Linked DNA regions of Sus scrofa. The protein of the gene in region 2 purifies or fractionates together with the protein of the main gene of each other region. This does not show direct contact. Links are inferred from orthologs where the notes say so. Each region holds a gene or a part of one and is shown on either strand. Other genes may lie near its edges. The genes, in order: NPTN and ATP2B4.

The links.
Region 1: the proteins of ATP2B4 (region 2) and NPTN purify together in Homo sapiens (co-immunoprecipitation; 3 studies listed by BioGRID and IntAct, with this or other methods). This does not show direct contact. The link is inferred for Sus scrofa from reciprocal best matches to the Homo sapiens genes ATP2B4 and NPTN.

What each region holds. Positions count from the first base shown.
Region 1 is NC_010449.5:59,766,904-59,771,282, reverse strand, and holds the start of NPTN (neuroplastin), read right to left. Parts: upstream 2,870-4,379; 5' UTR 2,468-2,869; coding exon 2,377-2,467; intron 1-2,376. UniProt on the Homo sapiens protein: Probable homophilic and heterophilic cell adhesion molecule involved in long term potentiation at hippocampal excitatory synapses through activation of p38MAPK. May also regulate neurite outgrowth by activating the FGFR1 signaling pathway.
Region 2 is NC_010451.4:64,334,842-64,339,362, forward strand, and holds the start of ATP2B4 (plasma membrane calcium-transporting ATPase 4), read left to right. Parts: upstream 1-1,622; 5' UTR 1,623-2,045; intron 2,046-2,655; exon of another isoform or gene 2,656-2,901; intron 2,902-4,521. UniProt on the Homo sapiens protein: Calcium/calmodulin-regulated and magnesium-dependent enzyme that catalyzes the hydrolysis of ATP coupled with the transport of calcium out of the cell. By regulating sperm cell calcium homeostasis, may play a role in sperm motility.

The DNA.
Region 1 (4,379 bases), on a different chromosome or scaffold from region 2:
TCTCTCTCTTGCCCTCTCCCTCAGACAGAGACAGACAGACAGACAGACAGACAGACACAGACACAGACACACACACACACACACACACAGAGCCATTTCTTTCTCGATTTAAATTTACATTCATTTGGGTCAACTACAAGCTCAGCTTCACTTCACCAGTCATGTCATGTGATCAAATTCAAGCTCATTTCAAGGAAAAGGCTGCACACTATGCTGTATTTAGAACACATATCACTGAGAACAACCAGATGAGTCTTTGTAGGCCTATCCAAAAACCTTTAGTTGCTAAGAAACTACAATTTCACCGTATTATAAATTTTCAAAAGAAGCTATGCTAGCACAGAGATTAAACATGTTAAAAATCAAAAACCTCTAATTGTGCCGAATGAAACCTTGCTGTATCTACAAATCAAATAGGTGAAATTAGTTATTAGGCTTAAGTCATATTATTAACACAGACTAAAAACTGCTAAGATAAATCAGACTGATTCTATCCCGCTTTCCACCGTGGCCTCATGCTTTGGAGGAAAATAGGAAAATACCCAATATACTTAGCATATTCAATGCTAGAGACAGAAAAATGCTTCCTTCCTGACTCCTGCAGTGATCATTCATGGCCATGAAGCATACACAAGATTTGATTCACACAATTTGCTGCAAAAAACACTTATATTTAACTGATGATGCTTTTTCAATCTTTATTGATATCTTTTCACTGTAATCTTCAGCATTTTGAGCCTAGATTCTCTTTAGAATGTTTAACTCCATTAGCTCTAACATTTACCTTTTTTTTAATAAAAAACATTTAAATGTCAGCTATTCACAAGAGTAACTGCAAACTGTTCTAGCATAAAAACAATGAAACCCCAAAGAACTAGCAAAAATAGTTTATAACTCTTTCTCCAGCACTCTCATGTATGAGTTCACCCTCATAAATGTTTTTCCTATAAAAATATTTTTTAAACCTCTTAAAGACTGTTTCCACAGAGCAGAAACCAGTTCACAACACTTTCTAGTCTCATCTCTGAAAGATCAATTAGGCAGAACACTTTCTAGTCTCATCTCTAAAAGATCAATTAGGCAGCTCAATTGTGACACATACCCTCAACAATCAGAATCTTTTTATCTAAATCCCCCATCACCATGTTTCCATCTTCTCTGAAGAGCTTCAGTTCAAAACCCAATTCTCTCCTTTCAAGTGTACCCTGCACACGAATTCTAAGGACTACCTTTATGTTCTTCAGAAATAATGTCTCTTCTGTCTTGAAACTTTTAGATCTTAAAAATCCACTTCCTTCATCTCCCTCTCTCCGGTAACTGCCCTCAATCCCACCACTGCAGTTCCAGCTATGCGTCCCTGCCTTCCCAAAGGCCCCACCAGTATCATAGACACTTGCCACATTCAGCTCCTCCCTTCCCTAATTTATCCTCCACACTGTAAACCAACATTACACCCCCGGCTTCCTGCATTTTACTCCCTTCCTTTATTTTCTGTCTTCCCCCACCCCCATCTCTAGAGCCAGGCACCCTTATTTCGCTAATAAATAATTCCCCCTACCCTCAGTTTCAAGCCTTTCTCCCCATCCTCTGCTCAATTTTCCTCTCCTTATTTAGAAACTCCCTTTTGCTCTCCCAACCACTACCCTAGAATGCCCAACACTCCACCCTCCTTAGCAAACCCAGCCCTCTTTCCCCATCTCATTTAGAGCCACTGCTGCTCCTCTTTCTAGATCTCCTACTGCAGTCAACCCACTACCTTGGCTTTCCACCCACCTTCCCTCCACCTCCACAGCCAAGGCTCCCTGATTCTTTATGCCCTCCTTAAGGCTCTAGTACTCTGCTCAGTATTCTTCAGGACTCCCTTCCCCCCAACATCTCCCTTATTTTTTTAAGGATGTCACCAGTTTCACGGGGCCCCAGTTGAATCCTGGACATTTACAGCGCCTGGGACCCCTGGTCTCAAGGAGAGCCTGACACCACTCCCCATTACCTTAAACACAAACGCCTGTCTTGTGCCGCCTTCTTTAAACGCTGCGCCCCCTCCTCATCCGCCCCCGCTACTCCGGCTCCCCACGTCGGCTTCCTCGGTGTCCCCTCCCCGACTGAGAGCGACGAGCCCAAGACGTGGAGCCTCTAAGTCAGCAACACCTCGAGCTCTTATCGGACGCCCCCACCTCTCGGACAGGCGCCTCCGGTTCTCACACCCTCGCCTCTTCGAACTCCCAACCGGCATCTGCTCCTCTCGGGTCCGCAGCCCCTCAGACTCCGACGGGCCCCTTTCCCCCAGCTCCGCCACCTCCTTGGGCCCTGGACGGCTCCCTCCGGCCACCAGTGTCCCTCAGCCCCCGCCCGGCCCGCCCCCGGCGCCCGGCTTACCGTTTTGAGCGGCGCCTGGTCCTGGAAGGAGGGAGCCAGAGACCAGCAACAGCGAGAGGGCCAGGGCGCTGGGAAGCGACGAGCCCAACATCCTCCCTGCAGAAGACCGAACAGCGAATTGGCCGGGGCCGGAGCCGGGGCTGGGGAAGGGAGGGGAGGGAGGGAGGGGGCGGGCGAGTGTGCCAGGGAGAGAGCGAGGGAGGCAGCCGCGGCTCGGCTCCGTCCTTCCCCGTCCTCCTCCTACCGCCGCAGCGCCCAGGCCTCGCGAGACAATCTCTCCCGGCCGTGGGCGGTTGAGCAGCGACGGCGTCAAGGATCGCGAGAAGAGGCGGCCGCAAGCGATCCTCCCGCCCCTCGGACTCTGTGTCCCCGCCCCTGGAGAGGCCGATTGGCCTAGCGCGAGGTGGATCACGTGCCAACGGTGCTTCTGGCCACGTGATGGGGAGAGGCGGGGCTCCTGAAGCTCTCCTGGCCTTGGGGAACCGAGAAGTCTGCATTTAGCTTATCCCTCTGTGAAACGCCCATAAATAAGAGGAAGCTTTGGGAACATAATATTTCCTCCGCCCATCCTGCCTTTCGTTTGTTGGAGCGCTTGGCTGCAAAATTTAATGCACCACCGCCTCTTTTAAGCCTTCCTCTCATTGTTCTCTATCAAAGTCCTGCTATTTCTTCCATCTGGACTTTGACCTTAGACTCCCTCCTGACATCTGGCTTCAGCCTCCCACGTTAACCCCCATGTTTTAACCTTTCAGGCTAAATGACAACTGGTATTACCTTGTGCTTTACTCATCTCCCTCTGCGTGAAATGTCCTCCTTTTCCTTGCCTTTCTATTCCCCCCGCCCCCCCTCCCCTCGTTTTGGCCTTGTTTTAACTACTTAGAATCTCAGGCCTGAAGTTCAACTAGCCTAATTGCTAGTTAGACAATGTAGACAATAAATTCTATAAGGATGCCATCATGTATTAACTTATACGAAGACTCTTCAGAAGCATTTTCACACAGCCAACATTTGAGTACCTGCTGTGTACCAAGTTTTTAATTTGCTGTGAAACCCAGATCAAAAAGTTCACAACCTAGTCTATCAGAGGAACTAGGAAGAAAAATGACTGTACAGGAAAACCATCCATAGGAAGGGAGCCAGCCAAGTGCTCTGGCAATGTGGTCACTACTGTTTGCATGGAAGTTTGGGAAGTGCTCTTTTTAAGGGTATTTTTGGCATTACCCCGAGCCCTGTCAATCCTTGGTTGGTAAAGGAGTTTCTGTGATTTAGCTAATCCCTGACTCAGAGCAGACATCCTGGGGAGTGTCTGTGGAGTGAAACCAAGAGGAGCCAAGTAAACAGCCCCAGTGACCTGACTCATTTCGAAGAGAAAACTTGGAGAAACTGTAAGAAGAAGCACTCACCATAATCTTCACACTCTCAAGCCAAAGCGGTCTATAAGCTTTCAGCAAGAACCACACAGCTGGTGGTTCCAGACTGAGTTTTCTAGAAAGCACTGGGTCTATAAGTATAGCATGTTTTCACGGAAATGAAACTATATCTTTCAAAACCTCAGATGTGTAACAAAAAGGTTGACATGTATCTTTGAACAAAGGATATTCAGCAAACAGCTCTATGTGGAGGGTTGCAGGGCTGCCTGTGGTAGAACCAGTGTTTTCAGCTGATGGAAGCTTTGGTCAGATACAACCATCCTGCCTCATCATAACCATAATCAAAATCACCATTTGATTAGGAATCCTTACAAAATGATTATGCTCATTTAGGGGTAGGGCAACTAAAGCCAAAAGAGGCACAAATTACTCAAGTTCTGAATGTTTTTGGTAACCATTAATAGCAAAGAATCTGGAGTTCCCATCGTGGCGCAGCGGAAGCGAATTCGACCAGGAACCATGAGGTTGCGGGTTGGATCCTTGGCCTCGCTCAGTGGATTACGGATCTGGTGTTGCCCTGAGCTGTGGTGTAGGTCACAGACTTGGCTCAGATCTGGCGTGGCTCTAGAGAAG
Region 2 (4,521 bases):
AGGCAGGGACCTGGGACCTGGGACCCTTTGCTGCGGTGGCTGCAGTGCTTGCACCTGGACAAACATCTCCCAGAGCAACAAAATACAAAGAAACTGTAAGTGTTTAAAAATAGCTTCATACATGCGCAGTTGGGACAGATTATGGGCAAGAAGATACAAAAAAACTAAAAACGCAACTACCACTTCTGAAGAGCAGAGAGTAAAAGCAGGGTAATAGGCCTGCCCCCTGCACACAGTCACCAAAGAGCAGACCACCTAAGCCACTCCTCTGGCCCAACCTCTGGAGCCGCCCCTACACTCACCCCAAATAAGGAGCCAGCTCGTATCCCATCCCCACCCCAGCGAGCCAGCAAGGGAAACCGTTGGAAACTGCTGCAGGGGCCCCAGTAAAGCCTAACCTGAGTTTTCCTGTCTGGCCTCTTATCAATTTCCAATGATTAAGAAAGCTAAGAGCCCAGGATGATAATACTCAGCTTCTCCACATCCTAGTTTACCACTCTAATCTGTGAGGTGTGTCACCCTGCCTTCATTAGCAAGTGAGTGTTTGTGTGTGTGCTGAGGTCTACGGCGTGGGAATTTATCAGTCAATGAAGATATGCAGTGTGAACCAGTCGGGGATGCATGTTTGCACTTGAAAGCCAGAAGGTTTTAGGCGAAATCTATGGGTGGCACTGTTGCACAATGCTGGTGGGTGTGTGGCTGCTGGGGTGTGATTTAACAGTTTACAGTCTGTGTATAAGTGTACCTGGATGTCTGAGTGTGTGCAAATTAAAATGGAAATGTGTACTGTAGCATGATACAAGTGCAGGAAAGTACACAGACTGGCTTTGGAGTCAGTCTGACTTGGGCTTGCATCCTTGCTCTGTTATTATTAAACAGATGTGGAAGCTTGGGCGAGTCACTGATTCTCAATTTCCTGAACTCTGAAATGAAGATAATAAGTACCTTTCAAGATCGCCATGAGCATTAGAAACGAAACCATATATGCAAAGCTTTTGGTGCCATAGCCCACACGTAGTAGGACTGAAAAACAGGCAGCTATTATGCACTGTGGATGTACCTCTGATGGGTACAGAGGCAAGCGGGAGCCAAGTGTGACCCGGGACTGTGTGTGTGAAATCTGGGTGAGGAGTGTCTACTAAGGTGTGTCTATAAGCAAAGCTATGTACTGGTGTGTATGTCTGAGCAATTCCTTTTCCTCCTCCAGGGAGCCCCTCCTTCAGACCAGCGGCAGGTGGGTGGCAGGGAATTGTACAAGTTTTCACAGCCACCTTGGGTTCCCGGGTCCTGGTTCTAAGTGAGTTAAGAGTTTGAGCGGAGCTGCAGGAAACCAACCGCCTGCAAAAGCTTCCTTTTTTTCCCTCCACCCAGCAACGGTTGAATACCGCCACCCACATCCACTCCCACCTCCACCCCCACCCTGCCTTCCTTTTAACGAGGGAGAGCAAGGGCGGGGGGGAAACCCCACAGAAAAGAGGATTCCTCCCCTTCTCCCCCAGTCCCCCTTAAGACAAATCAGGAAGAAGCCGCAGCTCGCCATCGGGCCACCTTAACAGTAGAGTAATGGTCTGGCCTCTCGCCAAGTCCCGCCCTCTTCCAGCCCTCGCTCCTCCCCTTTCTCCTCCCGCCCAGGCCCGGCTGGTGAGCAGGAGTCTGGCCCGAGTTGGCTGGAGCTGTTGCCATGACAAGCATTTTCTTAAGAAAGCTCTGCTGTTGAGACCGTCTGAAGCGGGGGGTTGAAGGGGGGGCACGAACTTCCTGGGGAACGGTCTCCCCGAGGAGGGCAAGCCCAGAGACACCCGCCCAGCTCCCAGCACCCTTTTCTTCCAGGAACCTGAGAGGTCCTTTCCTTTGGGAGGGCTAGGGGAGGAGACCCAGCCCACTCCCCGGTCGTAGCTGGAAAGGCAGGAGAGACCAGCCAGCATCTCCGGCGTGGTTGCCACACGGGGGACACCGGTGGGTCGTCACCCCCCCCTACCTCTGTCCATGGAAACCCGGAGAAAGAGTCCCGCGTGGAGAAGCCTGGATCTCTGCTAGAAAGAAAGGTAGGTTTGCAGAGAATGAATTGAATCTTGATTTGCAAACTTAGTTTCTTTCTTTCCTTTCAGTGGCTGATAAAATTCTCTGAATTTCCTCTTCCTAGCATATTTCTTGCAGCTGGGTTTAGGGGTGTGTGTGTCTGTGCTCGCGCACAGATTTGTCAAATACTATATTTCCTTCCTAGACTCAGTTCTGAGAAACGTATAATCAAACAAGTGATTTCTCTTTTTTTCCTTCGAGTTTTTGTCATTCCTGGGCTGTGGGGCTAGGGAAGTGGAGAGACTGTATTTTTCATACCCAAATGGAGCTTTTGGAAAAAGCATTTATTTTCCCCCATTCGTTCCTGCCCTCCCCTCCCCCTTGGCTTGGGAATGAGACGCAGAATGGAAAACTGTTGCAAAAATATTTTCCGCGTCTGTTCCCTTTCTTGAAAGCCCCAAAGAGAGATGGGAAAAAAAAAAAAAAAAAAAAGAACTGAGTACAAAATGCTCAACAGGAAGGAGGGGCTGCATCGGGGACTGGGAGAGGGGCTCACTGGGGGATGGGTGGAGGTAGGCGCTAGAAGTTGCAAGTGGGGAAGGGCAGTGCACAAATTAAATTTCTTTGGCTTTGTAGGGAAACCTCAGCAGTTTCTCTCTACCGCTCGCAAAACATCCTCAGACTTTCACGTCTATAATTAGCAGTGGAAAAAGCTGGGAGTTCCCTTGTACTGCTGTTGTTTGAGTGTGTGTGGAGCGTCAAGAACCAACTGTATGAGTGTCTCTGAGGGCACCGCCCCGTACATCGCTGGTCAAAAGGGGAGAAAGCAGAAGGGGTGAAGTTTGAAAGTTTGCAGTTTCAAGGCTGGTGACCGTGGGGCTGGTGAGTGTTTGGCGGTTGGGGGTTGCCACAGGCATCCTTGGGAGGGTCCCCGAGCAGCCTGGGCCACTTGCTAAAGAGCTAGAAATTAAGACTGGGATTGTCCCTCCTGCTTGTCGTTCACAAACACACTCACTCAAATACTTGGCTCGCTCTCGTGGTGGAGGAGGCCGGCTGGCATCCTCCCCAGGCAAGTCCAGCCTCACACACTCCTCCATCTCACTGAAGGACCCACCGCTTTTCTCTTGCTGGCTGTGGAGGACCCAGGAGTGTCTGGCCACATCCCGGGAGAGAGTGGGCACTCTGCTGGCCAGAGACACCACCCTCCTGGGCATTCCTGCCTGACTTAGAATAACTTGCAGACGGATGTCGGCGCCAGCCGGCCTGGTAGGGGGGAATCTCAGCTGAAGAAATAGGCGGGCACTCAACTGACACCACTGGGGGAGGGGAAGTAAAATCCCACTGTAGCCTGCCACCTCCTCCTTTGGGTGGGGTGTCTGGCAGGGAGTCTTAAGATCCTCCCGGATGTCCTCTATCTCCTAGTTGCCCCTTCTTGCCCATTCTATCTGGAGGTCATCCCCCACCCCCTCAGCTCCAGGCCCTCTTTACAGGGAAGAAGGGGAAGAGACCAAGGTCATTCTAGGCTGAGACTGGCGAAGGAGAGGGGCCTAGGGTCAGGACGGACTAGGTAGAGAAAGGTTTAGGAGGAGGGCAGAAGGGGGTGGTGCCCTGATGGCTAGTGAGCTAGGTTTCCTGGCTAGGGGCAGTGGCCTGGGGAGTGGGCTCAGCAATGTGGGTCCTGCACCTGAAACTTGGTGGTGGGCCGAATGGCGAAAAAGAAGCACCTGCCATCTGCCCCAGCTAGTTTGGTTGAATGAGTGGTAAAGGCAGAAACTGGAAAGAAGGAAGCAAACGATGTGGAAGAGAGCACAAATGGGGCCGGGATGGATCTGCCTGCACCCCAAGGCCAGACAGCTCCTCTCTCTGGGGAAGGGAATGAGGCCTTACCCAATGGGCAGGGAACCCCGGCCCAGATCCATGCCCTTGTTCTGTAGAGAGGCGGGGAGGGGAATCCGTCTCTTTGCTCCTCTTCGGGAGCCCCATCCTCCCCGCCACCATCTTGCAGAGGTTCAACCCTGAAATCACGCCCCTTCCCCCTCCCCACCCCCCTGCCCTTTGGGGGGCCCATAATCCCACAGTTCCTGTGGCCGACCTTTCCATTTTCAGTGCTTTCACTAAGGGTAGATTCTGGTAGGTTCGGGAGGGCTTCTCCCTTGAGGAGCAGGTCCCTATTTAGCACCGAGGCGCCTGCTCCCTTGGCCTGGAGTCCGGCGTGGTGGGGACGGGGTGGGGGGACGGGGCGCGGGGATTGACCTCCTCTTAGCCCCAGCCCTTCCCTCGGGTCGCGGGGCGGGGTCTGTGCTGCCACTTACCCGCGACCCCTCCCCTCGGCTGCTCTGCGGCCCCGCCCGGTCGCAGCCTCTCCCTCAGCTCCTCTCCAGCCTCGGGCTCTGCCTTCCTCTGAGGATTCCGTGCACCACAGCTCACTGAGCTGGAGCGAAGGTTTCATGCCTCCCGGGCCGTTCAGAGCCTTGGTCCCTTCCACTCCCAGTTACCACCTCT